Linked DNA regions of Alligator mississippiensis. The protein of the gene in region 2 interacts with the protein of the main gene of each other region in a biochemical or structural test. Links are inferred from orthologs where the notes say so. Each region holds a gene or a part of one and is shown on either strand. Other genes may lie near its edges.

Evidence for each region.
Region 1: the proteins of APBA1 (region 2) and CNTNAP4 form a complex in vitro, tested with the Homo sapiens proteins (2 studies listed by BioGRID and IntAct, with this or other methods). The link is inferred for Alligator mississippiensis from reciprocal best matches to the Homo sapiens genes APBA1 and CNTNAP4.

Annotation. Positions count from the first base shown.
Region 1 is NC_081826.1:208,856,134-208,871,292, forward strand, and holds the start of CNTNAP4 (contactin-associated protein-like 4), read right to left. Parts: upstream 7,220-15,159; 5' UTR 7,140-7,219; coding exon 6,929-7,139; intron 1-6,928. UniProt on the Homo sapiens protein: Presynaptic protein involved in both dopaminergic synaptic transmission and GABAergic system, thereby participating in the structural maturation of inhibitory interneuron synapses.
Region 2 is NC_081826.1:193,877,169-193,892,197, reverse strand, and holds the start of APBA1 (amyloid-beta A4 precursor protein-binding family A member 1), read left to right. Parts: upstream 1-3,867; 5' UTR 3,868-4,064; intron 4,065-15,029. UniProt on the Homo sapiens protein: Putative function in synaptic vesicle exocytosis by binding to Munc18-1, an essential component of the synaptic vesicle exocytotic machinery. May modulate processing of the amyloid-beta precursor protein (APP) and hence formation of APP-beta.

The DNA.
Region 1 (15,159 bases), about 15 Mb from region 2:
GCTTCTGAGACCTGATAGACTAGGTTCTCTGGCTCAGCATGGACAGAAAATAGAAGAAAAGCAATAAATTAGCTGTTTAGGCAGCTGCAAATATTATCAATGGGAAACTGGAATTCAGGTAAATGACCCTTCTGTCTCCTGTGCAATGCAGCTTTTACATTGATCTCTTTAAGGAAGTAGTTACTACAAATCTGGTAAAAACTGCAATAAAAATGTCAACAGAATGAGAAGTTATAAGATCAAAGAACAGTCATACTACCATCATACCTACCTTATTCTTACTTATCAGCTTGAGTCAGTATTGCCAACTTGCATGATTTTTGGCATTGTTCTTAAAGTCTACACTTCAGGAATATATATATAAAAAAAAAAATTAGCTCTTTCTTTTATTTATTTATTTATTTAGATAGATAGCTAGATAGCTAGATAGATAGAAAAAAAGAGAAAGAGCTAAGTTTCTGACATTCCCAAAGTGTAGACTTTAAGAACAACACCAAAAATCATGACAGTTGGCAACAGTAGATTTTATGAATAAAACACACTTCCCATGATGCAGTGTGTGAGACTCCCAATAATGCAAGCAGAAAGGAAAACAAAGTGCAATGTAGTTCAATAATCAAGCATTTAAGACAAAATGGAGTTGTCAGGTACCCAAACTTCAGCTCTTAGAGACATCACAGAAACTAAGGAGTTCAACTTAACGTCATAGTGACTCAATTAAATATTTTGGTTCCATTCAGCAAATGAAAATCTTGGTGTCAGTTAAGCTGACCCAAAACTAAATATTGCATTTCAATTTTCTCAATGAAAAAAAAAGAAGACAGAATTTTCTCATAGAAAAGTCAAAATCAGAAAGAAAATTCACTGAAGAAGTAGTGAGAGAGAATTCAAGGACTTCAGTAGGACTGCTTGAGTGTACAGTAAGCAAATTTTGCCATAAAAGATTACAGATGAAATTGGTATGTAGGAAGAGGGGGAAAAACAGTAAAAAGCTGATCCCAGAAGAGATGACTGATCAGCTCAATACTTACATTCTTTAATTTATGAATGGAGTCAAGGCAGCTACCTGAGCTCCCATTACAGCCCACATTCTCTTCATCATTCACTTCAGATGATTATTTAAAGTACTTTCCTTACACTTTTGCAGATCCAACATCCATTTTCATGGGGAAAGGAATGGAAGCAGCACCTGGCAGCTGTCATCTAAGCTGTTAGAACACTTATAAATTTCAGCTGTACCCTGTCAACTTAACTAGAAGGGCTGTTTTTCAGTACCAATCCTTGGCCTTCTAAAGTCCCCAAACCAAAAACCTACCCTTACTTACAATACATCAGTTAGACAAGAATGTTGTTTCAGTTACAGGGCTGGGAAAGTCTCTTAACCTCAAGGAAAGTTTACTTTATATAACTGAGATCAGAATTTAGCAGCCTGCTGTCTTAAAAAATCTCTTGTAGATAAGTAGTACCTTGGGCCGCACGTGCCATTTCTATTGTGAAGTTGTACAACTTCATATTAAGACATACTATGGAACAGGAATCAACACGGGGGTATGTCCAGAATCAATGCTGCCAATTTTATGAAGGCTTCTAAAATAACCACAGCAAAACTTTTAGTCATGTTAATGTTTTAGGAAGCAGAAAAGGTCTCTCAAAGGTCTAAGAGGTCCATAGATGGCAAGCTGGAGGAGAAGCAGCCTAATATATTTAATAAAGCTCTTACCCCAGAGTCTGAGTCAGAGGGCATATCTACACATTAGGGGGCAACAACAAACTGCAGAGATTATTGCTCCATAGTTTACTGCTCCCAGGAAGCTCCAGGGCACACATCTGCATGTGTACCCAGACAGAAGCACATTGAGCTGGGTTGCAGCAGCCTAAGCTGGCAGACGGCCTCATAGGGCCAGTCTGCCACCTCTGGGCTGCTCTGACTGGGCTCAATGTGCTGTGGTGGGGCTGACTGGAGCACAAGGGTGCTTCAGCATGGGGCTAGCCAGCAGGTAGCCCCAGCACTGAAGCACCCTCATGCCCCAGTCAGCCAATCAGCATCTATACATGTGCTGCTGTGCACAAAAACACTCTGCAGCAGGGTAGTATTTGTATTTACAAGTACTACCCTGCACCTGTATTACAAATAGTATGATGCTGGGGAATTTGTGAGTTTCATGCACTCTAATATGGGACACACGTATAGATGCTGAGACATTTATTGCACAGTTAATTAGTCAACTGCACAGTAAATGTCTCGTGTAGACATGCCTAGAGCAACCAAACTTATAGCCAGAAAATAAAAATCCTGAGGCCAGTTCTGGCTTAGTATCCTAAAGCCAGAGAGAGATCTAAAACCCGCAGCAACCAGAAACACTTCTGGTCCTTCATTTGCTTCAGTTCCTTTATACTGCCCAGTCCCAGTCTTGACTGCTTTGGCTTGATGCTCCAATGCACTCCTTAAAAGAGAACTAAACTCTGCTACATATCCCCAAAACTCAACTGAACATATGCCTGCCTTAGAGAATCATATGGTAACGGTTGCCAGAGTCATTCATTCATTTTGTGTTCATCGCACCAACATGATAATGGCATCAAAGAAGTTGCAGATTACAAGTGATCAGGTAGAACCCCAGATGAACACATTGGCTGTATCCACATGAGCATGGACTTTTGGTTCCCCAGGGACAACTAGCAGTGGCATACTTGCTGCTAGTGGTCTTGAGGGAACACTTGTACCATGCACCCTCTGGTGTGCTAAAAGTTACCATTGGTGGGGTAGGGGAGGCTGAAGACAGCAGTGGTCTGTGCCCAGCAGCCTTACCCGGGGTCCTGGGGGCCTCCTGGGGCTTCAGCAGTAGAAATCCTGCTGCTCAGAGCCTGGCCTGCAGCCGGAGTGTGGCTCCAGTTGAGCGGCATGTGGTGCCCCTGTGTGTGCCACTGCACTTTTTTTTGTGTGCGTTTTTTTTACCTCTGGATATCCAAAGGTAAAAAAAAAAACCCCATGTACTGCTACCTTGCAGCTCAGAGAACAGCTGAATGTGTGGTATGTGGCACTGCAGATGTGTCTGTGGCACCCCATACTGCATGGCCACGCTCATCTCCCACTGTCATCCTCCCTCTGTACACGGACTTGGTGAGGCCGCAGCTGGAGTACTGCATCCAATTCTGGGCTCTACAATTAAAGAAAGATGTTGAGAAGCTTGAAAGAGTCTAGAGGAGAGCCACGCACATGATCACAGGGCAAGAGAACAGGCCTTATGAAGACAGGCTGAGAGCCATGGGACTCTTCAGCCTGGAAAAGCATAGGCTTAGGGGGGGACCTGGTGGCTGCCTATAAGTACATAAGGGGTGTGCAACAGGATCTGGGGGAATGTCTGTTCTCCATAGTACCCTGAGGGATAACAAGGACCAATGGGCATAAACTCCTCCAAGACTGTTTTAGGCTGGACATAAGGAAAAACTTCTTTCCTGTCCAAGTGCCCAAGGCCTGGAATAGACTCCCTCCAGAACTGGTGCTGGCACCTAGTCTGGACTCATTCAAGAAATGTTTGGATGCTTATCTGGCTGGGATCCTTTGACCCAAGCTGACTTCCTGCCCCTGGGCAGGGGGCTGGACTTGATGATCTTCAAGGTCCCTTCCAGCCCTAATGTCTATGAAATCTAGATGTGGACACTTAGTACATTGGTCCCAGAAATGGAGACTTAGTGACCCTATGTTCAGTCATGCAGGCTATCAGGGCAAGACAGATCTTCCAGGTTCAAGGCTAGCTCATTTACCACTGAGCTCTTCTTCCTCCCTAACACCAGAGCATCTGGATGTATGACTATCTTTTGTCCTTATAACACACCAGAGAAATATTCCCATTTTACAGATGGAGAAACTGAGGCACACAGCCTAAAAGAGCATTCTGACATCAGAGAGAAAATCTGTGACAGACATGAATTCAAGTCTTCATAAGGGGAAAATAGAATTTGAATGGCAACAGTGCATGGTGCAGGAGCAGCAGCTGGCAAAAAAAAAGTGCTGCAGGGGGGAAATGTCACAGAGAATGCCTCACCTTTTTTTGCCACCAAGAATCAGCATTTAAACTGCCAATTCACACATCAGCAGGAAAAAAAAAAAAAAAAAAAGGTGGTGACGTCTCCTCCCACAGCAGCAAATCTCTGGCTCTGGCCCCTTCACCATGTACTGCATTTCCCAGGCCACAGAACTGGCCAGTCATACCTCTGTCCTCAGCACCCAAACTAGTAGCTGCTTCCCCTGCCCCTATCACTGGTCACATTCATATTAACTTGCTCATAATCAACACAGAGACCCTTTGGAGACTTTACATGTTCTTTACTGCGAAGTTGACTAATTAGCTCCACAGTAAAGCATCACTGTCTACACATGCAGCACTATTAGGCTGGAGTAAACTAACTCCACCATAGGCTAGTACCGCCCAACACAAATACTATCCTACAGTGGAGTTATTTAGTGCGTCACAAAGGATACAGAGATGGTGACCAGGGTTGGTTGGGGCATGTGGGTGCTACAGTCCGGAGCCTGATTGCTGGCTAGCCCTGCACTCTACCACCCTCGTGCCCCAGCCAGCTCCTCTAGAGCATGTTGAGCCAGGGCAGAGCAGCTCCACACTGGCAGAATGATCCCTTGGGCCCCCTGCCAGGCAGGGCTGTGCTGTCCTAGTTCAATCTGCTGTGGTCCTGGGAGAAAATATCAACACTGCATCCAGGAGCAATAAACTCCAGCACAAATTGTGGAATGTATTCAGCTGCACTAATTGCACATGTAGATGTGCCCTCTATGTCTGAGACATACATTTATGATCTTTAAAGGCATTAAAGAAGTCAGATAACCTTTCATTATTCTTCATTTTGAGGAGAATTTCAACTGTACAAAAGAATCTTGGTACCAGTCAGTCAGTTCAATGTTTATCTTGTTCTCTTACTGCATAGAAACATATAAAAAATTACACAAGGTAAATCTCTGTTATTCATAGTCTCACCATGAGAGTTGTTTGTTACTTTAGCAGTTACATAAAGTAAAATAATGCTTTATTATAATGGAGAGGGTCAAGAAGGCAAGGAATATTTAGGGGATGGTAGGATGTAGCAACAACATATATTTTTAAACTTGTGTGTGTGGTGGCTGATAGAATATGATAAAAGTGTCTTAAATATTAAGAGCACAATTCAAGGTAGGAGGAGAGCTATATCAAGATTCAGATCTTTCAAATCCTACAGTTTAGACTGCTTATGTATTAGTTTTGTGTTACTTATTTTACAAGGTCCTAAAATCCTGGGCCTTTGGGTAGAAGGTTCACAGAGCATCAGCCAAAAAAAAAAAAAAAAAAAAAAAATTAGAAGTCCTCCCACTTCTGATTTGGTGGTATATCAGCAATTAACTTTTCACTTTCCCATGAGATTTTATTGCAGGTCATTTGTTCCCTGTCCTGCCCCTTAAAATGCACCCTCACCAAAAAAAAAAAATCTTAAGTTTTTTCTAATCAATTTTCATATAATAAATACTAAATATTAGGGAAAATGCACATGAAAGAAGAACAAGTTTGAAAAAATTCTAACAAATTAAATAACAATTTTTATAGTAATTATTGAACTTTAAGATTTAATTTTGAAAAAATAATAAAATTTGCAACTAACTTCAGAAAGCCTACTGGTATTTAATATCAAAGCAATAAGACAAATAATAAGGCAAAATGTGTCATGATAGTGTTACCTTATGAGACTTAAAGTCAAATAAGACCCAACTTTTAATTTAATTCACTGGCAATTATTTTCTAGTTTAATTCAATGAGGTATGATTACACTATTCGTGTTGTTGGTTAATGTAATTGTTAGCTAAAAGTTGTTTAAATTTACATAACAGTAGTACCCTAAAATATTGGGACCGAGCCAAAGTAATTAACATAAAACAATCATTTCATTTAACTGCTCATGTTTATTCAAAATTATAGGTCATTACTGTTACAAAGCTGGAAAATTTAATCATTTAAAAAAGGTTTATATATATCAAGGGAAATACAAAATTCCATTGCTTTAGATTAAAACTGTGTTTTCTCAGGTTTTGAAGTACATAAATATACATGAAACTACCTATAAACTTACTGCTGGTTATTTTTTAAATTATATATTTAAGCTTTCAGAATTTGAAATGATGAAATTCCATACAAAAATTAAATCACCAATACTAGTCCAGTAATGAATCAACCTTCCACAATATGCTAACAAAAGATCCTACTGGAAACAAACTCTACTCAAGAATTCGGCAAGAAAGGAAGTGTTTAGCACCTAAAAATGATGTGTAGTACACACTGTGCATGTAGGCCTGTGTACAATATCTCATTATAAATTCCAAAACTGGGATGATTATTTTAGGCAAAGCTAATTTAAAAAAAAAAAAAAGATGTTTCACTTGTATTTCCTCCTGCTGTGTTCTAGCTTGTTTTGTATGATGGTTGTTCTTGTTTTAATATAGTCTTTTTACTGAATTCAAAACGCTAATTTACAGTAGTACTTGTAATGTTATGTATATAACTACATTTAGCAAAGATGGATAAGAAATTTATACAAAAAAAAAAAAGAAAAAAAAAAGAAAAGGAAAACAGGCCACAAAATAAATTGGAGCTACTTTTCCATAATGCAATAAAAACTACAGACAATTCAATATAAACCAAAGTAATTTCCAGAAAGAACTGGTACAATTTCAATAGTAAAGATAGGAATTAAAGATAGGAAACATTTATCCACTTCAATCACATTTATTTTCTGAGGTAAATTTAAGAATAAATTCTGAGCACCTATTGATTTTTTTTTAAATCTATGTCTGGCGGCGAAGTGCCCCCACAGGCTAGTGAGGGAGAGAAGGGAGGACCCACAGACCCCAGACCCCGAGAGCAAGCCCCCAGAGGGGCATACGTACCGGCTGAAGAGCAGCGGGAAGAGGAGCCGCATCCGCGGCTGCAACCACGCGAACCGCCATTACGCAGGTTCTGGCAACAGCTGTTCCCGGCGCGGTGAACAGCTGAGCCAATCCCAGCGGCTGTAGTGGCCGCAGCGGGAAGGTTTAAAAACGCCGGCAGGACAGGGAGAGAGGGGGAGCCAGGGAGAGAGAGTACGGGCGGGCAGTCCATGTTGTGGGCTCTCGCACAGAGCGGAGAGGACCCAGCCTGTGGGTCTCAAGCAGGCAGCTTATCTAAGAGCTGTACGCCTTTCGCGAACAGCAGAGTGAAAGGCGGTCAGAGAGTGCGAGCCGAGGCACTCTCTCAGTATCCTGAAGCGGCTGACGCTCAGGAGGGAGGGGAGCGCTCTGTTGCCGGTAGGAGAGGGGAGAGAGCGAAGGCTCCAGGAGGGAGCTGGAACCAGGGGGAGCACCCACCAGCTCCTCCTGATTTGGAGGAGTATTTTCTGTAAGAAGGGAGGAAGGAGGAATCACTCCCAGCAGGAGGGAGAACGACCGGGAACCGGGGACCCAGTCTGAGGCCGTCATACAGGGCCTGGAAACATCTGGAACACATCACCCAGTGGTTGGCGTGTGGACGGGGTGTAGGGGAGGCGGAGCCCCGTGGACCACCGTGTCACTCAACCGTGAGTAACACCGTCTATCGGGAAGCCCCACCCAGGATAAAGATCTCCACTGTAGACCCCTCTAAAGGTAATTGATTACATCCAAGTCGTGGCAGGCGAGTTGAGGGGAGGGGCAACACCCCGATAGGCCAGGCGGAGCTAGACACAGGCTTCACAGTGGTGCATTGGCCGGGAAGGCGGCGCCATTCTCGTACGGTGTTAACGGGACAGTGTCCCGACCCGGGACCCGATAGTGATGCAGCAGCCAGTCCTTGCGCCCACGGAGCTGCTTATGCAGGCAATCCAGGCCATAGGGCAGGTGCTGGCAGTGCAGCAACAACAGGGCGCACACCAGGAGGAGTGGATACAGCGAAATGCCACTTTATTTAAAATGCCCAGGATGACTAGGGAGGATGACCCATATCTTGTATCGAGGCATTCGAGAGGACAGCCATCCAGACAGGGTTGGACCGTGGTCAGTGGGGCCACCACCTGGGGGCGCTGGTGATAGATCAGGCCCAAGCGGCCTACCGAGCGCTATCAAGGGATGAAGCTCGTGATTACGAGACAGTGAAAGCAGCAATCCTCTACAGGCTTGAGATTTCACCGGAAAGTCATCGGCAGGCCTTTAGAGCCCGAAAGTCCAAGGAGGCCAGGCGACCCCGGGGGTTGTTGCAAGCTTTAAGGGACTCACTCAACAAATGGTTGCCAGCCAGCAAGTTCGACTGGGTGGGCGTGATGGACCAGATCCTGTTAGAACAATTCATATAGGATTTGGAAGAGGATGCCCAGAGGTGGGTATGCAGACACCAGCCGCAAACTAGTGAAGAGGCACTTCATTTGGCGGAGGCCTTTGCGAATTCGGAAAGGGAACGGGTATACGGACGAGGCTCCCGAGGCATGAAAGAGGGACCCACAAGCGAAGGGGAAAGGCGAACGGTCTCGAGACGAGGGCCACCGAAAGGGGTGGTGTGTTACCGCTGTGGGCAAACCGGACACATCTCCTGTGTATGTGGGGAAGGCCTGAGCGAGCTGAGTCACACCCCAACAGGATATCCACCCTCCCAGAATAGAGGCAAAGAGGCGGAGAGAGGGGAACCCATGGATTGCAGTTTCGGGTTGGCAACCCAGAACGAGGGATGGAACCGGCCCGTAGTAACTGCATGGATTGGAGACAGGGCGGTTAAGGCCACATTGGACACGGGGTGTTCCCACTCCCTACTTCGGGCAGACCTCACTCTGCAGAGGGAACGGAAGAGTGAGGGGCCCCTGACGATGACCTGCATACTAGGGGGGGAGATGCAGTTCCAGACTTGCTATGTTCTGCTTAGGGTGATGGAGTTTAGCAGAGAGCTACGAGTTAGAATTGCCCCGACCCTGGCATGTGAGATGATACTAGGCCAAGAATGGGGGCCATTCTATACAGTCCTCGAGCAAGTGAGGGCTACGCAGGAGGAGAGGAACCGGATCAAGAGGGGCGACGGATGGGCCAGCGACGGCCCAGCCCGTCGCAACGAAACAATGACAGACGACATTAACCTAGAACAGTTCGTGAGTGCAGCCCAATTTCATAGGGCACAACATGAGGACCCGGAACTGCAGTGGATGTGGGACGCCGACTCCGGGGAAGGACCCTCACAGAGGCGTCCCGGCTTCGAGGTAACAGGGGGGCTATTATATCGGGTCCAACGGGGTGAGGACGGTACCATACGGGGGAGACAATTAGTGGTCCCGACCTCACTTCACAAAGTGGTGTGGAGACTAGCCCATGACTCACCCCTGGGTGGCCATCTGGGACGTAACAAGACCCGGGCGAGGCTGGCCCAAGAATTCTTTTGGCCTCGTCTCCAAGAGGATGTGGAAAGGTGGGGGGCCGCATGCCCAGAGTGTCAGAGGGCCCAGGAATGGAAGCCCCCAAGGGCACCCCTGAAGCCCATGCCAATAGTAGAGACACCGTTCTCGCGGGTCGCTCTGGATATAGTAGGACCCCTCCCCAGGTCTCATAATGGATACCAATATATCCTGGTGATGGTAGATTATGCCACCCGTTTCCCAGACGCCGTGCCCCTAAGGTCCATAACCGCCACTCGAGTAGTGGAAGAACTTCTTAAGTGGATAGCACGGGTGGGCATACCTGAGGAGATACTCACAGACCAGGGAACAAACTTTATGTCTGGGGTAATGAAAGCTTTATGTAAAACCCTCGGCATCACCCATCTAAAGACCTCGGTCTACCATCCCCAAACTAACGGTTTGGTAGAAAGGTTAAATGGGACCATCAAGCGGATGCTCAGGCGGTGTGCCCAGGAAGACCCGCGGAGGTGGGATACTATCTTGACACCCTTGTTGTTCGCCATAAGGGACGCTCCACAAGCGTCAACCCAGTACTCCCTATTTCAGTTGGTGTATGGCCATAGCCCTTGGGGACTGCTACAAATCGTAAGGGAAGAATGGGAGAGGCCAATAGGCTTGGGGGTGTCAGCGGAGAGGTACCGGGAAGAGCTACAAGACCGAATCTCCACGGCCCAACGGATCACCAGGCAAAACCTGAGGGACGCCCAAGGCATACAGGAAAGGCGTTACAATCAGAAGGTGAAAACACGGACGTTCCAGTCGGGGGACAAAGTTTTGGTATCGCTGCCGACTTCCTCCAGCAAACAGCTGGCCATGTGGCAGGGGCCATTTACCGTGGCGAGACAAGTAGGGCCCATGGATTATGAATTACTTAAACCAGGTCACCGCCGGGAATGACAGATTTACCACGTGAATCTGCTCAAGGAGTGGAAAACACCTCAGGGCTGGTTGGCCCTAGACGAGGATACAAAGGAGAACCTGGGACCGCTGTGTCATGGGTTAGGGAGACCCAGGAAGGAGGGAGCAGTACAGATGGGTAAGGAGTTGGGCAATCACCAACAGCAAGAATTGCTAGCTTTGATAGAGGAATTTAGGGCAGTGTTCCAAGAGATCCTGGGACGAGTAACGGGAGTAGAACATGAAATCAGGACCCCTCAGGGAGCACTGGTGAGGGAGAGATGGAGGCCGATACCTCAGCGGTGGCAACAGGAAATACGGCAAGAGATCAGGAGAATGCAAGAACAAGGGATTATACGACTGTCCCACAGCCCATGGCGGAGCCCCATAGTCCCTGTCATCAAACCGGATGGGTCATTGCGCATATGTATAGACTACAGGAAGCTCAATGCCCTGACTACGTTTGATGCCTTTCCGATGCCCCATGTCACTCACCTCATTGAGAAAATCGGTGAAGCACAGTATATAACCACGCTTAATTTGGCAAAGGGATATTGGCAGATCCCGATGCGCCCCACGGATTGCGCCAAAACAGCCTTCAGGACCCCATGGGGCCTATTCGAATTTACGCGGCTGCCCTTCAGCCTCAACGGAAAAGCTGCGACATTTCAGAGGTTGATGGACAACCTATTGGCACCCCACGCAGCATACGCGGCGGCATACATTGATGACATCATTATATTTTCTGCCAGCTGGCAACAACACCTCCAAGACCTCAGAGCAGTCCTGGGGGAACTCTGAGCAGCAAGGCTGACCGCCAACCCGAAGAAATGTAAACTAGTGGGGAAAGAAACAGCATACCTAGGATTTTGAGTAGGCCGAGGGACAGTTCGGCCACTCACAGATAAGATTGAGGCTATAAGGCAGTTCCAGGAACCGCGAACCCGTAAACAACTGCGTTCCTTCTTGGGACTCGTTAACTATTATCGGCGATTTATACCCTGCTTCGCGTCGCTTGCCACACCACTTAGACGCATTAGCTGGGAAATCTGTGACGCCACTGAAATGGACACCGGGGATGCGAAAGAGCTTTCTTTTTACAGACGGATGCATCAGGATGGGCGCTGGGAGCAGTGTTACTACAGAAACACGGGCAAGAGGAGCGCCCAATTGCCTTTGCCAGCAGGAAACTCAGTCATGCAGAAACCAGGTATGCCACCATCGAGAGGGAGTGCCTGGCAATACGCTGGGCAATAGAATATTTTAAGTACTACCTGATGGGGAGGGAATTCGTGGTAGTAACAGACCACGCACCACTACAGTGGTTGACACAGAAACAAAGCATGAACACCAGGATCACCCGCTGGGCTTTGGCTTTATAGCCATTCAAATTCATGGTGATACACCGCCCAGGCCGAGATAACTTTGTGGCTGACTTCTTGTCCAGGTGGGGAGGCGCAGACGACGCAGAGGAAGGTGCGGGCCACATCCATAGGGAGGAGCAGGTGACACATGCCGTCACGAGAGAAAATCAGCCGCCACAAGGCAACTTAAGCGGGGAGGTCTGTGGCAGCGAAGTGCCCCCACAGGCTAGTGAGGGAGAGAAGGGAGGACCCACAGACCCCAGACCCCGAGAGCAAGCCCCCAGAGGGGCATACGTACTGGCTGAAGAGCAGCGGGAAGAGGAGCCACATCCACGTGAACCGCGCCGGTTCTGGCAACAGCTGTTCCCTGCGCGGCGAACAGTTGAGCCAATCCCAGCGGCCGTAGCAGCCGCGGCGGGAAGGTTTAAAAACACCGGCAGGACAGGGAAAGAAGGGGAGCCAGGGAGAGAGAGTACGGGCGGGCAGCCTGTGCTGCGGGCTCTCGCACAGAGCGGAGAGGACCCAGCCTGTGGGTCTCAAGCAGGCAGCTTATCTAAGAGCTGTACGCCTTTCACGAACAGCAGAGTGAAAGGCGGTCAGAGAGTGCAAGCCGAGGCACTCTCTCAGTATCCTGAAGCAGCTGACGCTCAGGCGGCAGGGGAGTGCTCTGCTGCTGGTAGGAGAGGGGAGAGAGCGGAGGCTCCAGGAGGGAGCTGGAAACAGGGGGAGCACCCACCAGCTCCTCCTGATTTGGAGGAGTATTTTCTGTAAGAAGGGAGGAAGGAGGAATCGCTCCCAGCAGGAGGGAGAACGACCGGGAACCGGGGACCCGGTCTGAGGCCGTCATACAGGGCCTGGAAACATCTGGAACACATCACCCAGCGGTTGGCGTGTGGACGGGGTGTAGGGGAGGCGGAGCCCCGTGAACCACCGCGTCACTCAACCGTGAGTAACACCATCTATCGGGAAGCCCCACCCAGGATAAAGATCTCCACTGTAGACCCCTCTAAAGGTAATTGATTACATCCAAGTCGTGGCAGGCGAGTTGAGGGGAGGGGAAACACCCCGATAGGCCAGGCGGAGCTAGACACAGGCTCCACACCATGATTTGGCTGATCAATATTTTTAACATGTACATTGTTGTAATGTTTATTGATAAGACATTCTACTTTGTGTAACGAGTACCTAATTCCTCTTTAAAGATGAGAAGGCTGAATATGAGATGTGAATTTCCTCTCTCTCTCAAATATAATTTTAGCCTTAACCTTTAAGAACTATGTCATTCCTCACAAAATATGATTTTGAAGGATAGTGTTGTTGACCGTGATGGCAAACATAGGATGCATAATGGGAATAAGGGAATGGATATGTAAATTACCATAACTATGTTGGAAGCAAAATTAACAAGCTACCTGCTTGTGGACTATTTTGGCACTTTGCCTTTGTCAGTCAATGGTTAAATATTATATATAAATATTATATATCCACAATTATAGATGTAGATCCTGCCCTGCTGCTGCTGCCTCAGCCCCAGATCTCCTGTGGGGCCTCCACCCAGACAGAGCCCTTGGCTGGGTCAGCAGTGCCTTGCCCCTCAGTCTGTGGGAGTTGCCTGGCAGGACCTCTGGGGCCCGGGGGCAGTGTGGGGGCTGGGGGTCCCCTCGCCTGTCCCACATGTACCTGGATTGAGGCTCTGGAGGGGCAGGTGAGGGAACTCCAGGATGAGGTAAGCAGGCTGCAGGGGATCAGGGCTGCAGAGGATGAAATTGAAGGGTACTTTCATTCTCTGTTGGACAAGACACCTAGTACAGAGACACCATGAGAGGAACCAAGGCAGCCGAATAGAAGACGGTCACCTCCAGAGTCAGACAGCATGCAGCTGTGACTGCTTCCCCAGCGCAACTAGGGAACAGATATAAACCCTTGGCAGCACTGAAGGATGATGCAGCAGAGGAAGTCTCAGGGGAAGACACACCCACAACAACCATGCAGGCTAAGCAACAAGTGGGCAACTGGAAGAAGACACGTTGGGTCATTGTGGTGAGCAACTCCCTCCTGAGAGGCACAGAGGGGCCTATTTGTTGACCAGATCCCATGGCGTGGGAGATTTCCTTCCTGCCCAGTGCCAGGATCCAAGACTGTCATGGCACAGGGTCCTGTAGGATGGCCGTGATCTCCCCAAAGCCCCCTTACCATGCCAAGTTGGCCCAAAGGGCACCCTCAATTCTCGTCCACCACTTCTTTGATTGTAAAGATAATAGGGAGGCTGCCTTTACATCATTTTGGACACGGTTCTGCTGTACTCACTGACCCCGTGGATTCCTTAACTCCTTGTGGGTCCCATTCTACAATGGGTGTTTTGGGGCACCCTAGCCTTATGGGCTATGCATGGCTCCAACTGCCCCTTTACCACACCCCAAGCCATGCAGATGGAACCAACGTTGTTCGATCTGGGACTTATTATAATTTGGTTCCCTTGTCCTCCCTGGGCACTCCGCGGCCCTGTCTCGCACTGCGCCCTCACTAGCACTCAGGGCTGGTGCACCCCGAATGCTACGCCCTCCCTGGCACTCTGGGCCGGTGCACCCCCAAAATCCTGTGCCCTCTCTGGTGCTCAGAGTTGGTGCGCCCCCAATGCTGTTCCCTCTCTGGCACCAGGGTTGGTACACAGCCAATGCTGTGCCTTCTCTGGTGCTGGGGTCGGTGCATCCCCAATGCTGCGCCCTTTCTGGCGCCAGGGTCCCTGCACTGTCATGGGTTCCCTATGAGGCCTCCTTCTTCCCTTAATAGCCTCACCCAAACCACCGGTCTTAAGCAGCAAACAGAAAACACAAGCCCCTGGGCTATAACATAAATTCAAGCCTCCCGGCTATAACATCATTCAAGCCACCCCAGGGGTGCTCCATCCCTCACCAGTATCAGGAGCTACTTATGCAGTCAGGCCTCTCCCCTTTGCTTGCTCCGGCAGAGCTCCTTCCTCCTTGGCTGCCAGCAGGGAACTGTCCCCTGGCCTCAGCCCTGGAGTTTATATGGGAGCCAGGCCCTGCCCCTTCTGGTCAGCTGACCACTAGCAGGTGTGGGTCACTAGCTAACTCCGGTTGCCCTGGTAACCAGCAGCTGGGGCTCCTTACTCACTGCTAGGGCTCTTTCCCTAGCAGTTCCCCCTCTTTAAAAGGAGCAGGGTACCTAAGTGCTCTGCGACAGAGACATCACTGTGAGAATTCCTGACCTCATCTGCCCCTCCAATTACTATCCCATGGTCCTCATCCATGTAGGCACAAATGATGCAGCCAGGAGTAGTCCAGACCATATCATGAGTGACTACAAGGCTCTGGGGGCCAGGCTTAGGAAGTCAGGGGCACAGGTGGTCTTCTCATCAATCCTCCCAGTCAAACTGCAGCTCCACGGTTGGTGCCATCATGCGAGTTTTGGCTTCTACAACCATGATCTGCACTTCCATGAGAGAGGTATC
Region 2 (15,029 bases):
TTTTCCTGTCAAGATTCAACAGTTTTGTCAAGGATCAATAGCTTCAGGGTCTTACATACACACTGTGCTCCTGCCAGTTTGTGGTAGGATGTACAATCAGATGATGATGATGCATTCCACAGAAAGGCACATCTTTCTTTGCTCTGCCCTGTGCCCCTTCTGCAGAAAGAGTTTTTCTCTTCTCATGAGTTTATGAAGGTAGGCAACATTCCCAGGAGGGAGGAAGAGAGAGAGCATGTACATTAGGTCATGAAATAAAGACAGCAAGCAAAGGAAACATGAAATTGTGGGGCGGGGGGTCGAATGTGCTCATTGTAACAAAGGGAGAAAGAAAAACCTGGAGCAGTCACTGCCTAAGCAGAAAGCACTGCAGGATTGTTTGCAGGAGATTTTACAAAATCAGTCTTTCCACCATGCTTTTTTGCAGTCTGCACATATTTGATATGCTTTGCACTTCTAAAGTGATGTAGTGAATGGACTGTGGCTCTGGGATACAGCTGGGCTCTACTGAATGGAATCAGAAGGGCTCAGATGTGTCAGAGGCTCTCCCCTACTAAGATGTAACAGTGACATTCTTCCATGTTGATATCTATGTCTTAGGATATCAGCCTCAGGACAAATGAAGTTCTTCTGCTGATACCTTTAGATTCTAAATTAATATGGTGGATAGTATAATAACAACTGTTCCATTACTAGCTAGGTACAGGTTAGTAATGCTTAAAATGGCTTAATTATCACAGCATTTGTGAGAGGTAGGGAAGTATTGTTAAGCCTCCAAGTCTCACTGATTTGGGATGGGGATGCCATCATTCAATCAGCTTTTAAAATCTTTTTCGTAAAATAAAAACAATTATAATCTTATAACTAGAGGCTTAGAGACCTCCCTGGGCATGAAAAAAACCCAACACATGTACATATAAGCCCCCCCCCCCCCCCCCACGCACTCATTCAGTCAAATGAATACAGTCAAATAACATGCACTTTAATGCAGCTAAATACAAGATAATGGATTTGGCATCCAGGGTAAATTTACAGGATGGAAGACTGTCTCAGAAAGCAGTGACTCAGTGAGGGACTTAGAGGTCATTAGGGATAAATGCCTCCATGTGCCTCCCTTGTGTAAAACTATAGCAAAACAGACTAATCCAATGCTTATTTATAAAAGGAGACTATCCAAGAGCAGGGAAGTGATTTTGCCTCTGTGCAAATGCTTGAATGCTGTGCCTATATCTGGTGTTCACATGGCTAGAAAGGGATAAAAATACTGGAAGAAGTTCAAAGGAGAGCCACAAGCATGAGATCTAAGCACTGAAAAGCAATCTTTGTCGTGTGAGTCTGAAGTGGCTCAATTTATTCAGCTCATTGAACAGAAACTGAGAAGTGACTTGATTGCTATGTAGGGATACTTGAACATAAAGATGTTTGGTAGTGGGGTGCCTTTTTCTGATATCCTGACATGACTGTAACAAGATCCTGTGGATGGAAATTGAAAACAGATAAATTCCACTTTGAAATAAGACACAGCTTCCAGGGAACGGGAGTCATGACACACTGGAATATCTCATTAGAAGAGATGGTGGCCTCACCAGCACTTGGCTTCTATAGGGTGGATGGATATATCATTTTGAAAGATATGCTCTAATTTGGCTTTTAGAATAAATTCTTCAGTCTGTGTGGAGTGTATGGGCCTAAGTAGGATGGAAAATGATGTTGATCACTTCAGCAGCCACTGAAAGTTGTGGATAGCAATCTCCCTGTTTATAACCTTCTTTAATGGGTCCTGGAATGACTGGGTTTGTCTACATTGGTTTCAACATGCTCTTAACAATTGCAGTTCTGCATTAAGACAAGTACTTGAATAAAATCTCCTGCTTCAGGCAGTTGCCTCCAGGAGTCGAGAAGGATTTTTTTCTTGCATAATGCATAATATAATTGCTTTTTTTTTCTTTTCCTTCCTGCTTTCTTCTAAAGCATCAGATTGGCCACAGGTGTCAATAGGAAATAGGATGGGGTATCTTGGTCCTCTGAAGCAGTATAGAAAATCCTTTCGGGTCCTGGGACGTAAGTCTTGTTCATATAAGGTGTATCATACTGATTACAAGCAATCCTTGGATTTACGACACAATTGGGTCCTGAAAACTGCATCTTAAGTCAAAACATTGCAACTTGGAACTGATTTTCCCATAGGAAACAATGTTGTGAATGGGGGATTGGTTCCTGAACCAAGGCCCGATACCCTACTTTCACCAAAAATAACCCATAATTTTGTACTCAATTATAGATGAGTAATATAGCTACATTAATGTATTTATGTTGTAAATAGCAATCATATTGATTTGGAAGGACTTCCTTGAGGTGACTTAGCTGAACTTCTTGAAGGGCTCTCGGTTGGACTTTTTGAAGGGTTCTTGGCTGGAGTCTTCTCAGGAGTCTTGGCTGCAGGTTATTCTGGAGCCTTGTCTGCTTTCTTAAAGAAAGTGTCCAAGGAAGTTTGGACAGATGTTCTCCAGGGAGATGGGGGATGCAGAGGATCAAGCATTGTAAAGTCAAAACTGATGTCAGAAAGTTGAAACAGGTGTCAATTTATAAATGTAAGTGTGAAATGTTGTGATGCGAAACATTGTAATTCAAGGACTGCCTGTACTAGGTTCAGGTTGAGAGGGAGTTTCTGTTCTCTTGAGGTCAGGTTGGTATGGTCCTCATCTTTCTCTACTGGGAACCTCTGAGCATGTCTCATCTAATCAGTTACTTGTTAGTGCAGGACTTCAGGGAGTGGCACTTTGGTCATTCCTGTACTCTGCTTGTGGCACACCTTATAGGTTTTGTGTGCACTGGACTATTTAGTATCGTTTACACTGCAGATTTCATTTTGGGTGTTTGAGTGAAGCCGGCTGGTTTATGACATGGAGAAGGACTAACAGGATGATCTGATGCTGTGTTCTGCCCTTCTATACGTCTGGGAAACCACACTTGAACTGATCAACACAATTTGGAGCATGGTTATGAGAATCAGGTAAACAGAAATACAGATATCTCCTACCTGACCTTCTAAGTCACTGCAGGCTGCATGTATTTCATGATGCTGGCCAACACACCCAGCAGTAGCTGTACAGATAGGTTTTGCTCCCCAAATGTAAAACATGAGTAAAACCCCTGCCTGTGTTAGCTCTCCCTTGTCTCCATGAAAACATGAAGAGTAAAACCCCCACCCTTGTGTCAGCACTTCCTCAATGCCATGAAAACAGGAACAGTAAAACCCCTGTCAGCTTTCCCTCTGCCATGAAAACATGAAAGCGAAAACCTGTGCCCTTGTGTCAGCTCTTCCTCAATGCCACAAAAACATGAAGGGTAGAACCCCCGCCCTTGTGTCAGCTCTTCCTTAATGCCAGGAAAACAGGGAGGGTAAAACCCAGGTCCTTGCGTCAGCTCCTCTTCAGTGCCACGAAAACGTGAAAGGTAAAACCTGTGCCCTCGTGTCAGCGCTTCCTTCATGCCAGGAAAACGGGGAGGGCAGACCTGGTGCCCTTGTCAGCTCTTCCTCAAAGCCAGCGAAACATGAGGCGTAAAACCCCCAGCCGTGTGTCAGCTCTCCTCAGTGGCATCCCTATTGTGCAGCTGGGCAGAGGGGAAAGTGGGGACCAAGCGGGGGGTGAACACGGCCTCGCCCCTGCCGAGGGGGCTGGCGGTTGTGGGAGGGAGGCCGAGGGGCCCGGCTGCACGGGGACACCCTCTCCTCGGGCAGCCTGGCTGCGGGCACCGGGGCGGCGGAGGCGCAGGGCTCGGCCCTCGCCCCTCGTGCAGCGCCGCGCGGGGCGGCCCCGGCGGGTGACGCGGGCGGGCGCGGGGCGGGGCGGCAGCGAGAGGCGGGGGCGGCGCGGGGACGGGCTCCGCCGGCGGCTGCGGAGCCCGAGCAGCGGCAGGAGGAAGATGGTGGAGCTGGGGCCGGCGCTGGAGGCAGCAGCAGCAGCAGCCGCCGCCGAAGTGCCGGCGTGTGCCCAGGCTCGCGGCTCCCGCCTGCAGCCGCCCTGCCCCACCGCGGCCTGCTGAAGCGGCCCGCCAACCCGGTGAGGAGCAGGACAGCCGGGGGTGGCTGCACCGCGGTGCGTGCGGGGCCGGAGGAGGAAGCGGGCGGGATTGCATCCGCCCCCGGCTAGGGCTGCGCCTGCCGGGGATGCTGCGGCGGGGGAAGCAGCGGCCAGGCTTGGGCAGCGGGGGAGGGGAGGCGGATGGGCGGCCGCCTCCTGCGCTGCAACGCAAGAGACCGAGCCAGGCTCGCCCCATCCTCGCCCTGCTCCGCACCGGCACCGGCGCCGGGTCCTGCCATGTGGGGGTTGGGGCTGCCGCAGGGAGCACGTGGTGCTGGCCTGACAGGAGCGGGCTGGGAGGAGGGCATCTCTTCCTACAGCTTGGGCTGCCCGTCCCCCCTGGATGGTTTTTTTTTTTTATGTTGTTCAAGGCCACATCGTTTCCAGATCCAATTGGGCAGAGCCCGAGAGTCAAGTTCCCAAATTCACCTGGGCAGAGCTCGATCGGCAAGTCTGCGTGTGGCTCTACCCCCTCCCAAACCATCCCTCTGGGCTTCGGGGACTCCCCAGACCCAGGCAGGCAATCTTATGTGCAAGCCCTAGGCCTGGAGGCCTTGGGGTTCGTGTGTCCCCGCCCCCAGTTTCACTTGATCCTTGCCAAAAGGCCGAGGCAGTCGGGGTTTGCAAAGAGGTGCCAGGGAGCCCTCCTCCATCCGCCTTGCTGCCTCCCTGCACTTCCCCCCTCTGCTCTCCACCCCTGCGCTGGGAGAGGGACCAGCGGCTGCTGCTGTCACTGTCTGCCAGCAGATTTAGGAACTGCTATTCTTCCCTACCCCCCACCCCAGCCACATCTGCACAGCGCTGTGGGGCCCTTCCATTCAGTTACTGCAGCCCTCTGTGTTTCACTTTTCCCAGAGCTCGGTCTTGTGGGGCGCAGTTCCCCAAGGCTTGTTTTTCTGTCAGCCTGTGTGGAAATCTGCATGGGAGAGAGAGGCCAGGATGGAGGCCTGTGTCTTTGGAAGCGTGATGTTTCGTCGTTTTGCTTCCTTGTGGCTTTATGGCGCTGAAGGATTATGGCTCACTTCACAAGGTGTGCCATAGATCTCTGGCTGTTGTCATAGCTGCCCAGGAACTAAAGCAGTGGGACTAGAAGGCGCGGATGTTTTTCTGACTGCAGGCATTAAGGATGAGCTAACATGGGGCAAATCAGGCATATGGTGTGGATTTCTATCTGCACTGTACATTTACCTTATGCCAGGTGCCAGGAGCCCATCCTACAATCAGTGTTTTGATACCTCTTTGTTAGCATGGATCAGAGGGTCCCAACCAACCTGTTCTGGAAAATATTCCAGTCACAGTACTTTAAATTCTACTGCATTGCTGTCAAAATCTGAACTGGCTGCCCCTGTCTTTGCAGCCTGTGGCTGCCATACCTCCAGAAACAAATACGCAACACATCGTCACCTTTGTTGTTTGGAAAATAAAGGTGGAATATCTTTGTCGCTATTGCAGTGGAGGGATTTAGAAATATTTAGGGGTGAGGTCAGTTGTACCTTTAAATCTATCAGTCATTTTAGAAACTTCTAGTGTCCAAAGTCTACTTATCATTTTAATTTTCTTTTCTTTTTTTTCTACTGTTGCATCATAGACATCTGCAAACCAGACAGTGCAAAGCACAGCTTTTATTTTTGGTTTCTATACTCTTTAGTTATGATCCAAAGTTGTGACAAATTGTGCTTTGAGTAATTATGCAAGATTTAGGGGTAGATTTACATAAATGGAAACATTTAAATCTTAAATCTGTGTTCATGTGTTGGCTTTTTTGGAACTGTCATCTAAAATACAGACTAGTTAGTTTTCTCCTTTTAAAAGCTCTTCCTTGCCAATTAAGAGTGAGCAAGCAGTTACCAGTTTTTAAAGCACCGCTATCAGCTGGTGATATTGTTGGAATGTATATGCTGAAAAGTTGAGTGTCCAGTAAATTGTAATGCACTGACATAGGTAGTTGTAAATTGTGGTAAATTGATCATTTTTCCTGCACTTTGAGAAGTTTTGATGCATTTCTAATTATACAATATAAAATGTATAGAAAGCTTAGTTGAAAGAGAGAATATCTGACTTGTTTAGATTGGAAAAATGGTTAACAATTGGAAATAGTGTGGATTAAAAAGTGGATATAAGCTTTACATTTGAACAGATTCATTAAATGATGGGCAGACAAGGCTTGGGGTACAGCACAAAAACTATAATTCACTGGACTAAGTTATTGTCCTTTTCTCTTGTAGCTTGCAGCAATGCATTTGTTTTGCACTAATGCGTTGTCTTTGCTTAAAATAGCAGTAATGTTTTCAGACTATTATTCTGTGTTCTATCAGATGCAAAGGCCAGCCTTTTAGAAGCCTATTAAAGAAGAGATATTCATAGATTGACCCTTTGGTTATAAAGTGAAAGATGCCAACAGAAGTACATTTTATTAGAAGGCCCTAGTTAGCTAGGAAAGAGCTGTTCTCTTGAGGGGGCAAGGTCTGTGGAGAAAGCAGAAATGCTTTCCAGGCATCCTTTTTCAGTTTCACAATTACTTAACTTCAAAGTATTGTTTATTATATTAGTGACATTTTTTTTTTTCAAATATCTATCTAGGTTTTGTCATTCCTCACCTTTCAGGAGGCACTGGGAGAGATCTGCTTCTAAAAACGTTCCTTGCACATGTGCACACACACTCCGATGTGTAATAGCTTGGAAGCTGTCATCACATTCAATAGCATCACAAAATGTAATGGTATAATGGACATGCTGTCGTGTTGGAAATCCCTAGCCTCCATGGAACCAAAGAAGAAAATTCTGGCAGGTTCAGTTCATTCTCCTGAGACTGATATATTCAGTTACATGCAGTTAGGTGGATACAGTTTTGGGGTATAAAACTGTAAACGTAAAGGTCTTGTTTGCTTTGTGTTACTATGAAAGATTGTGTAACACCTTCAGTTAAGAAAGGCTTATACTTCATTTCCTCAGTTTAAAATGTGTGAGAACTGAGTGAACATAGCAGTAACCGGGAACCTATTTTTTCTCTACATACTGTTAAATTAGGACCCATTGTCTTTAATGGGACAAGTAATGGGATCTATAATTTTCTAACACCACCTCTTGTATGTTGTTGTATAGCCTAAAATAATGTATACCTCTAACAATGCAATACATTTTAAACAAGATTTTGACCTAAAGAAAAGCTGGCAGCTTGAAAATTTTGCTGTGTTTCAAAATGCTTTTATCTGACAGTTTTAAAGATAAGACCTAACTAAGCATTCTAGAATTGCTAGAGATGAGAGGGGAAAAAAAATCTCTGCACTCACTACCTGTTCTTTCCTGTTCATTTACTAGGTGCGTTTGTGTATAGCATTTTGAGTATAGACAGTTTCACTGTTTTAGTCCATGTGGGTCTTTAAGAAAGCATTATGACAGATAAAATCAAAGTGTGGTAGTTAGTCTGAAGTCAGGAAGAAGGCAGAGCATATTTATACCTGATATGCTATACATCTCTGATTTAGTTAGTCTAAGTTTTTGTAAGCAGGGAGCTTACTTCATCAGGTAAAATTGGGAAACTGTGATTTTAAAACCACAAAAATTGACAGACGACAAATCACCTAATCCAGTGCACTATACTACTGCATAAACGAAAGGGTAGATTTAGGACATGAAATGAATTCTTACTTTTTATTTTAAAGTGAGTATAGATTGCAAGGTTTCAGTGTCCCTCCACAATGAAAAAACCAAGAAAATCAAAATGAAGGCTGAAGCTTTCAACCCACATTTAGATATCACAGACCAGACTCTTTCCTTTAGCTATGATGTTTATTGCTATAATGGAGTTACTCCTGATTTACACTGGGTTATATGAAAGAAGAATTGTACTGTCAATCAGTGAATGATTTTACATATACTTTATGCTGAAGAGTGAAGGGCCACCATTCATTAGCTAATTAAGTGAGATGTACGTCTGAATAGGATCCTGTTCATATACCTAGAAGTCAGACTTCTAATATTACAGGAGTGCATTTTTGGTTGTTTTTATTATTGAATAAAAGTGGCAAGTCTTCTAATTACTATGAGCTATTCTCATCTGAAGTAGAACAAATAAATGTAGATTGGATTGGGTTGGGGGTGTTTGAAAACAAAGGATTGATTAATTTTGCTTCATAGTATTGAATTGGTAAGCCTGCTGCTCAGAGCAGTGCAGTAGTTCTCACTGACTAAAAATGTGCTTTTCTACAGAAGTGCATTTTTGTGTTGTTTTACCAGAAGGGGCTGGGAACATTCTTTGTGTGCTGCTTCCAAAATAGATATTTAGCATTTTCACTTTCTATTTCTTTATTCATTTATTTATACATGATGTTGTTCTTATTCTAAACATAAGCTTCATATATCTTAATGAAAAATCACCCAGATCACCTTGCTACCTATACAGACATAGTGCCTACAGAACATTTTCCACCACTTTGTCCAGACTACCTTCAAATGTCTTGAAAGAAATGGTTTCCCCTACAATTCTTGAAGGAAATTTCTGTCCTTGAATAGATCTCACTTTAAGTAAGCTTTCCCCTAATCATCAGTGGGATTTTATGCCATAGAAAGGGGACTGACAAGAGGGGGAATAATAACCATCTCATAGCAAAAGAAAAAGGGAAAATTTGAAAATAAGATGGCAAATTAAAAACTGATAGAAGGAGATACTTAGATGCACAGTGGGCATGTCTACACCTGCATTTGCACTGGCTTAAATTCAGTGCGCAGTAAGTTAAAGTGCATGTGTTAAAGCACATTAGTGTTATGTGTGCACTGACATGAGACTGACATTGGTCCCAAGTCAGGCCACACAAGGTAGTGTTACTCCGCCATAAGGTGTCTATACGTACATTACTGTGCAGTCATTAATTGGGCATAAATTTGATACTTCTATGATGCAGGTCAAATTTACGTTCAAGTAGGTATAAGTTGCCGTATTTACTGTGCAGTATAGGCAGGCACATGTAGATGCATGCCCATACTGCACAGTAATTTCGGTTACTGTGCAGTATATGCACACACGTAGATGTTCCCACTATGTAATTAAACTGTAGAACTCACTGCCAAGAGCTGAAACCAAAAGACTTACATGAGGATTCAGAATGAGGCTGCTCATTACTATGGATAATTTGAGTATCCAAAATTAAAGCCTATTTATATTTTGGAAGAAATATTAAATCTCATGATTAATATCTTAAAACCAGTTCCTAACTACTGGGGATTAGGAGGATGTGTGTGTGTGGGTATAGGTGGATCTAGAATTTTGAAAAGAGGGGTGTAGATGGTGAGGTGCACCATCACCTATAAAACAACACATTCTTCTCCAGTTAAAAATAAATGAGAAGCTTTGCTAATATGCTAGGGTCCCAGGGCTATATTATTCAGTTTAAGACTGAAGCAAAAACAAATATAACTTAATTGAAATGTGTTAAAAACCAAGCTGCAGGCCTGTGAAATAGAAGCTTCATCACCAAGAGCAGCTAACAGACAGCAGAACTGCAGAACAAAGGATAGTTTGGTGGAACATCAAGACCATTTAAAAGGAGAGAGAGTCGTAAACACCTGTGGAAGGAAGAGTTTAGAAGGTATTAGGTAGATTACAATGAGCCATGAAATCATCTGACTCCCTCAGCACTGCCTGACTAGAAATGCTGCTGCCATTGCCTAGCAGCTGGTTTTAAATTTTGGGTGGAGTAAGAATCAAAGGAGGGGGGAGGTGCAAGTGCACCCCTGCTGGATCTGTCCCTGTGCGGGAGGACCAACTTTATCCCACATCTGTCTAATGTGAGTCTTATTCCACATGTCTCTGAATCTAGGAACTGTCCAGCACAGATGACTAGAAGGTAACCTTTGATTCTGGCTCAGTATAGTGATCTTGGAGTACTGAGAAGGGAAGTTTAGGTTAGATATTAGGAAAAACTTTCTCACAAGGAGGGTAGTAAAGCACTGGAATAGGCTACTTGGAGAGATGGTAGAATCTCCATCCCTAGAGGTTTTTAAGATTCAGATAGACAGCCTTGGCTGGGATGATATAGTTAGGATGGTCCTGAGCAGAGGGTTGGACTAGATGATCTCATTGTCGATGATTCTATGCTATGTCCAGTTTGGGGCCCCACACTTCAAGAAAGCTGTGGACAGATTGGAGAGAGCTCAGCAGAGAGCAGCAAAAATAATTAGAGGCCCAGGAAGCATGACTTATGAGGAAAGGCTGAACAAACTAGGGTTATTTAATTTAGAGAAGAGAAGATGGAGGAGGGATTTGATAACCATCTTCAAATACCTGTGGGGCAATATATAGATGAGCTTTTTTTCCATAGCCAGGACTAGGAGCCAGTGGACCCAAGCTGCAGCAAAGGAAATTTAGGTTGGAGAATAGGAGAAACTTTCTGATTATGAGGGTGGTCAAGCATTGGAACAGGCTGCTTAGAGAGATTTTGGAATCTCCATCCCTGGGAGCAGGCTGAGCAGACATTTGGCTGAGATTGCTTAGTCAGGGATGATCCTGCCTTGAGTAGGGGGATGAATAAAATGACTTTGTGAGGTCCTTTCCAGCCTTACTTTCTTATGATTCCTATGATCCGTATATTTCTAAGAAATGATTTTGCTGATTACATATAATTTCTCACCTATTCGCTATCATTTTGTTAGTTTCATGCACTGAACTAAGTGATTTATTCTACTTGATGCTGGCACCTTAGAGGATGGTTTAGGGCTCTAGATTCAAAAGTCAAAGCAGCTGAGTCGTCTTCAGGAGGTCTGCTGCTTTTACATTATGACTTTTGCCTCTTCAAAGAATTGAACCATAAAAATAATCTTCTGAACTTCTATAGCATCTTTTTTATCAACCAAAAGCTTCCTTGTTAGACTTGCTATTCAGACTTGCAACTCTTAAAATTGGGAAGCAAATCCGGAAAATAGTTAAGATAGCAGAGCTACGAAGTCCGAGAAACCCAGTTATCTGTCACCTGGATAAGAATGGCAATTCCCTTAAATTTGACTCTAGTAACAAGGAAGTTTTCAGTACTCAAAATGCCTCTTCATTTTTTTTAGATGAGTTTTATTTTGTAGTTAGGGACACTGAACTGAAGCTAGATTCAGTTCCCAGGTCTTCTGTAGACTCCCTGTGTAAATCTGGAAAATTACTCTCTGGGCAAATCTACACAAGATGTTTACTGCATAGTTGACTAATTATAATTAATTGCTCAGTATACATCTCCATGTCTACATGTGTGCCCCTATTAGGGGGTGAAGGAAACTAATAAACTCCGCAGCAGGGTAGTACTTGTAAATACAAGTATTACCCTGCTGCAGAGTTGTTTTGTGTGCAGCAGCGTATGTGTAGATGCTGGCTGGGGCACGAAGGTGCTTTAGTACTGGGGCTGCCTGCCAGCTAGCCCCACACTGAAGCACCTTCATGCCCCAGCCAGTCCCTCTGCAGCACATTGAACCATCCCCAGGCTGGTAGGGGGACCCCTGTGGGGTCCAAAAGGTGCTGCAGTTTATTGCTGCCCCTGATAGTATGTGTAGATGTGCCCTCTGACTTCTTATTTGCATTTTTACAGGTGCACAGGTGGAGAGAAAGGAAGCAGTAGTTAAATGTCTCTGGTCTATTTAATAGAGCTAGTAAAAAATCTTTTATCAAAAGTTTTCTTAACGGGAAATGCCTTTTCATGAAAATTGGTTGAATCTTTTGTACTAACACCTAACTTCATCAGCAAGGAAGAAAAATAAATGTGTGTAGTGGGGGATGGGCAAGACAAGTCAACACATCCCAAAGTCTAATAACTAATCACCAATATCTAAAAGAATTCAAAATAACAAGTGGATGCTTGTTTGCAATACTCAAGAGGGGAGAAAAAGCAAATAATTCAATTTTTAGAAAAAATTGAAATCTGTTTCTTAAAAAAATTATTTTGTTTTTTCAACTAATATATTTTAAAATCCGAACTGTAAACAAAGCATGTTGTATTTTTTCTTTCTAGCATTCATCTTCACTAGCTAATGGATGAGAGAGTACAACTTACTCAACATGACTGTAAACAGTGTATTTTTTGCTAATATATTTTTAAAATATACCTTTTACCCTAGTTTAAACAACTCTTTTGATGATAATAAAATCAGAAGCTGCATATGGAACTCTGGGATATTTTTAAAGAATGGAAAAGCCTGAACCAATTATCTTTTTTCCTGAGTGGAATCCGAGATGACTTGCTCTAGGGTTATAGGTTGTAGCCATGTTGGTCTAAGGACATAGGCAGACAAGGTTTTTTGGGTAAATCTGATATCTTTTATTAGACCAACTCAAATAGTTGGAAAAATTCTTCTTTGCAAGCTTTTGGGTGTAAATATCCTCAGCCTGACAAAGGGTATTTATACCCAAAAGCTTGCAAAGAAGAATTTTTCCAACTATATGAGTTGATCTAATAAAAGATATCAGATTTACCCAAATGACTTGCTCAACATTTTTTTTTAAGTTTTCAAAATACAGTCCAACAGGTCCTGATGTAGCTTCAAATTAACCTTTGGTTATCTGCCTAAAGAATTTTAAAGACATGGGGCGCATCCAGATGAGTGCAATCATGCAGTATGTGGTGCTGCAAACACGTTTGCAACACCACATACCACACAGTTCGGAGTTCTCCACCGTGCAAGGGCACACTGCCCGAGCATGTGCTGCTCCATTTTTGGTTTTTTCCCACAGGTTTTTTTGACCCCGGATATCCAGAAGTAAAAAAAACAAACAAACAAAAAACCGTGGAAAAAACCCCAAAGCAGCACATGCTTGGGCAGCATGCACTGCTAAAGAGCGGAGCCGGGCTGCCCAGAGCCATGCTGTGGCTGCTGGCTAGGCTCTGCCCAGCATGATCACTGTGGCTGCAGATCCGGGAGGTCCCCAGATCCCCAGGTAAGACTGCTGGGCCTAGCACAGTGCTGGCTCCAGCCTCTCCTATGCCACCCAGGGCCACTTGCCATGCTCCAAAGCGCGTGTGGCATGGGCGTTCCTCAGGGACAAGAAGCAGTGGCTCAAGTTGTGCCGTCATTATTTGTCCCCAGGGAACCAAATGTCCATGCACATCTGGATGTGCCTATGCAGTTTACTTAACCAGCTACTATTGTTGAGAAGAAGGGTAGGAGGCAGACAGCATACTTACTCAGAAGGAAAAATGATTGCTTCCCCAGGAATCTTCTAACCATTGTACAGTAGTTGGGAACTTCATTCGGTTTAGAAGGCAAGTAATCAAAGAGTAGAGTAGTAACATATCCTTTTAGCCCCAGTTACCCTAACAAGCTTTAAAGAAATACCAAGTTTTGCATACTGAAGAAGTGCTGAAATATTAAGATATGTAAGGTTAGAGAAACTCAAGTAGAAAAGGAGTCTGAAGGTTATTTTTTGTTATTAAATTAATGGTTGTTTGCAATTAAAATGGAAGTGCTATTTGTTCAATGAAAGATTTAAGGAATTTATTTTCCTGCTTTTTATGGTATGCATTTAGTTTCGGGGATTATGTTTTACTTCATAAGAACCTCTTCAGTAATTTTTATAGCGTCTGATGAGGTCGTCCCACTGCTTACAAAAGTTTACGCTGTATGTCTCTGATTTAGTTAGTAAATATGGTACAAATCTATCCTGCCTTCTCTCATGGTCATAACTGAGTCCCTATAGTCTGTGTATTAAATAAGAAAGTCTATACAACATAATATTTTAATTCTTTTTATGTAACTCAAACACTCTAAACATTCTTAATATCTTCTCCTTCCCTTAGTGTCCTGTCCTGATGTTCCCAGCTATGATACTTCTCCTTCACTGTCATAGCTAAGCACAGCTAAACTCAGGTTTCTGCTCTCACTCAAGGAGGCATTACCTTGCTGATAGTGATAAGTGACTAACATACACCACTTAAAAGGTTATGGTGACACAATTCAGTTTGTTTAATATTAAATAAAATTAACCATAACAAGGTGAGCTAATTTTATAGTTCTTAAAAAGCTTTCTATTCTAGAAGTATACTGAGTTTAAAAAAAAACAACAATGAAGCTATTTGCTACCTTGCTACATTACTTTTCTAACAACATTCAATTAATTGCTTATGATAGACTGTTAGTATATATTATAGTTATTACTGAACTAATATTATTTAGGTTTCAACTTTATTATGTCTTTAGCCATGACCTTACAATAATTAAATGCTGTCTTTGCACTCAGTGGGTGCATTTACACAAGGCATTTACTGTGCAGAAGACTAATTAACTGCACAGTAAATGTCTTAACATCTACACATGCGCCCTAAGAGGGACGCATGAAACTAATAAACTCTGCAGTAGTGTATTTTTGTAAAATACAGGTACTACCCTGCTCCAGAGACTTTTTCATGTGCAGGAGCGCACACGTAGCTGCTGCCCGACTGGTTGGGGCACCCCCATCTCCACGTGCTGCTAAGTGGCTGCCTGGAGCACAGGGTTTCTCAGCACAGGGGCTGCTAGCCCCGTGCTGAGGCACGCTGCACCCCAGCTGGCCAAGACAACATCTTCACATGTGCTACTGTGCACCAAAAAACTCTGGAGCAATAACCTCTTGAGTTTAGTCTTGCACATTCATTACATGTGTAGATGGGCCCAGTATGTAGTTTAAATATGCAAAAAAAATACTGTTTAACTTGAAAAAGCTTGACATTAATTATTTGTGTGCTATAATGATAACTACCTGCAGTTTCATTATCACTGTAAATTGACTGAAATCACCAATTTTAATAATGATTGAAATCAGCAAGCAGGTAACATTAATTGAAATAATAGATTTTATTCTTGTTTTTCCATTTATACTTTTAAGTTCCTTTCCTAAATAAAGGTTCATTCTCATTGTTTGGTAACCATTAGACTTGTTAATTTGTAACTACTTATAGCCTTTATACACATCTGACACCAACTGGGGTACTTCAATTATCA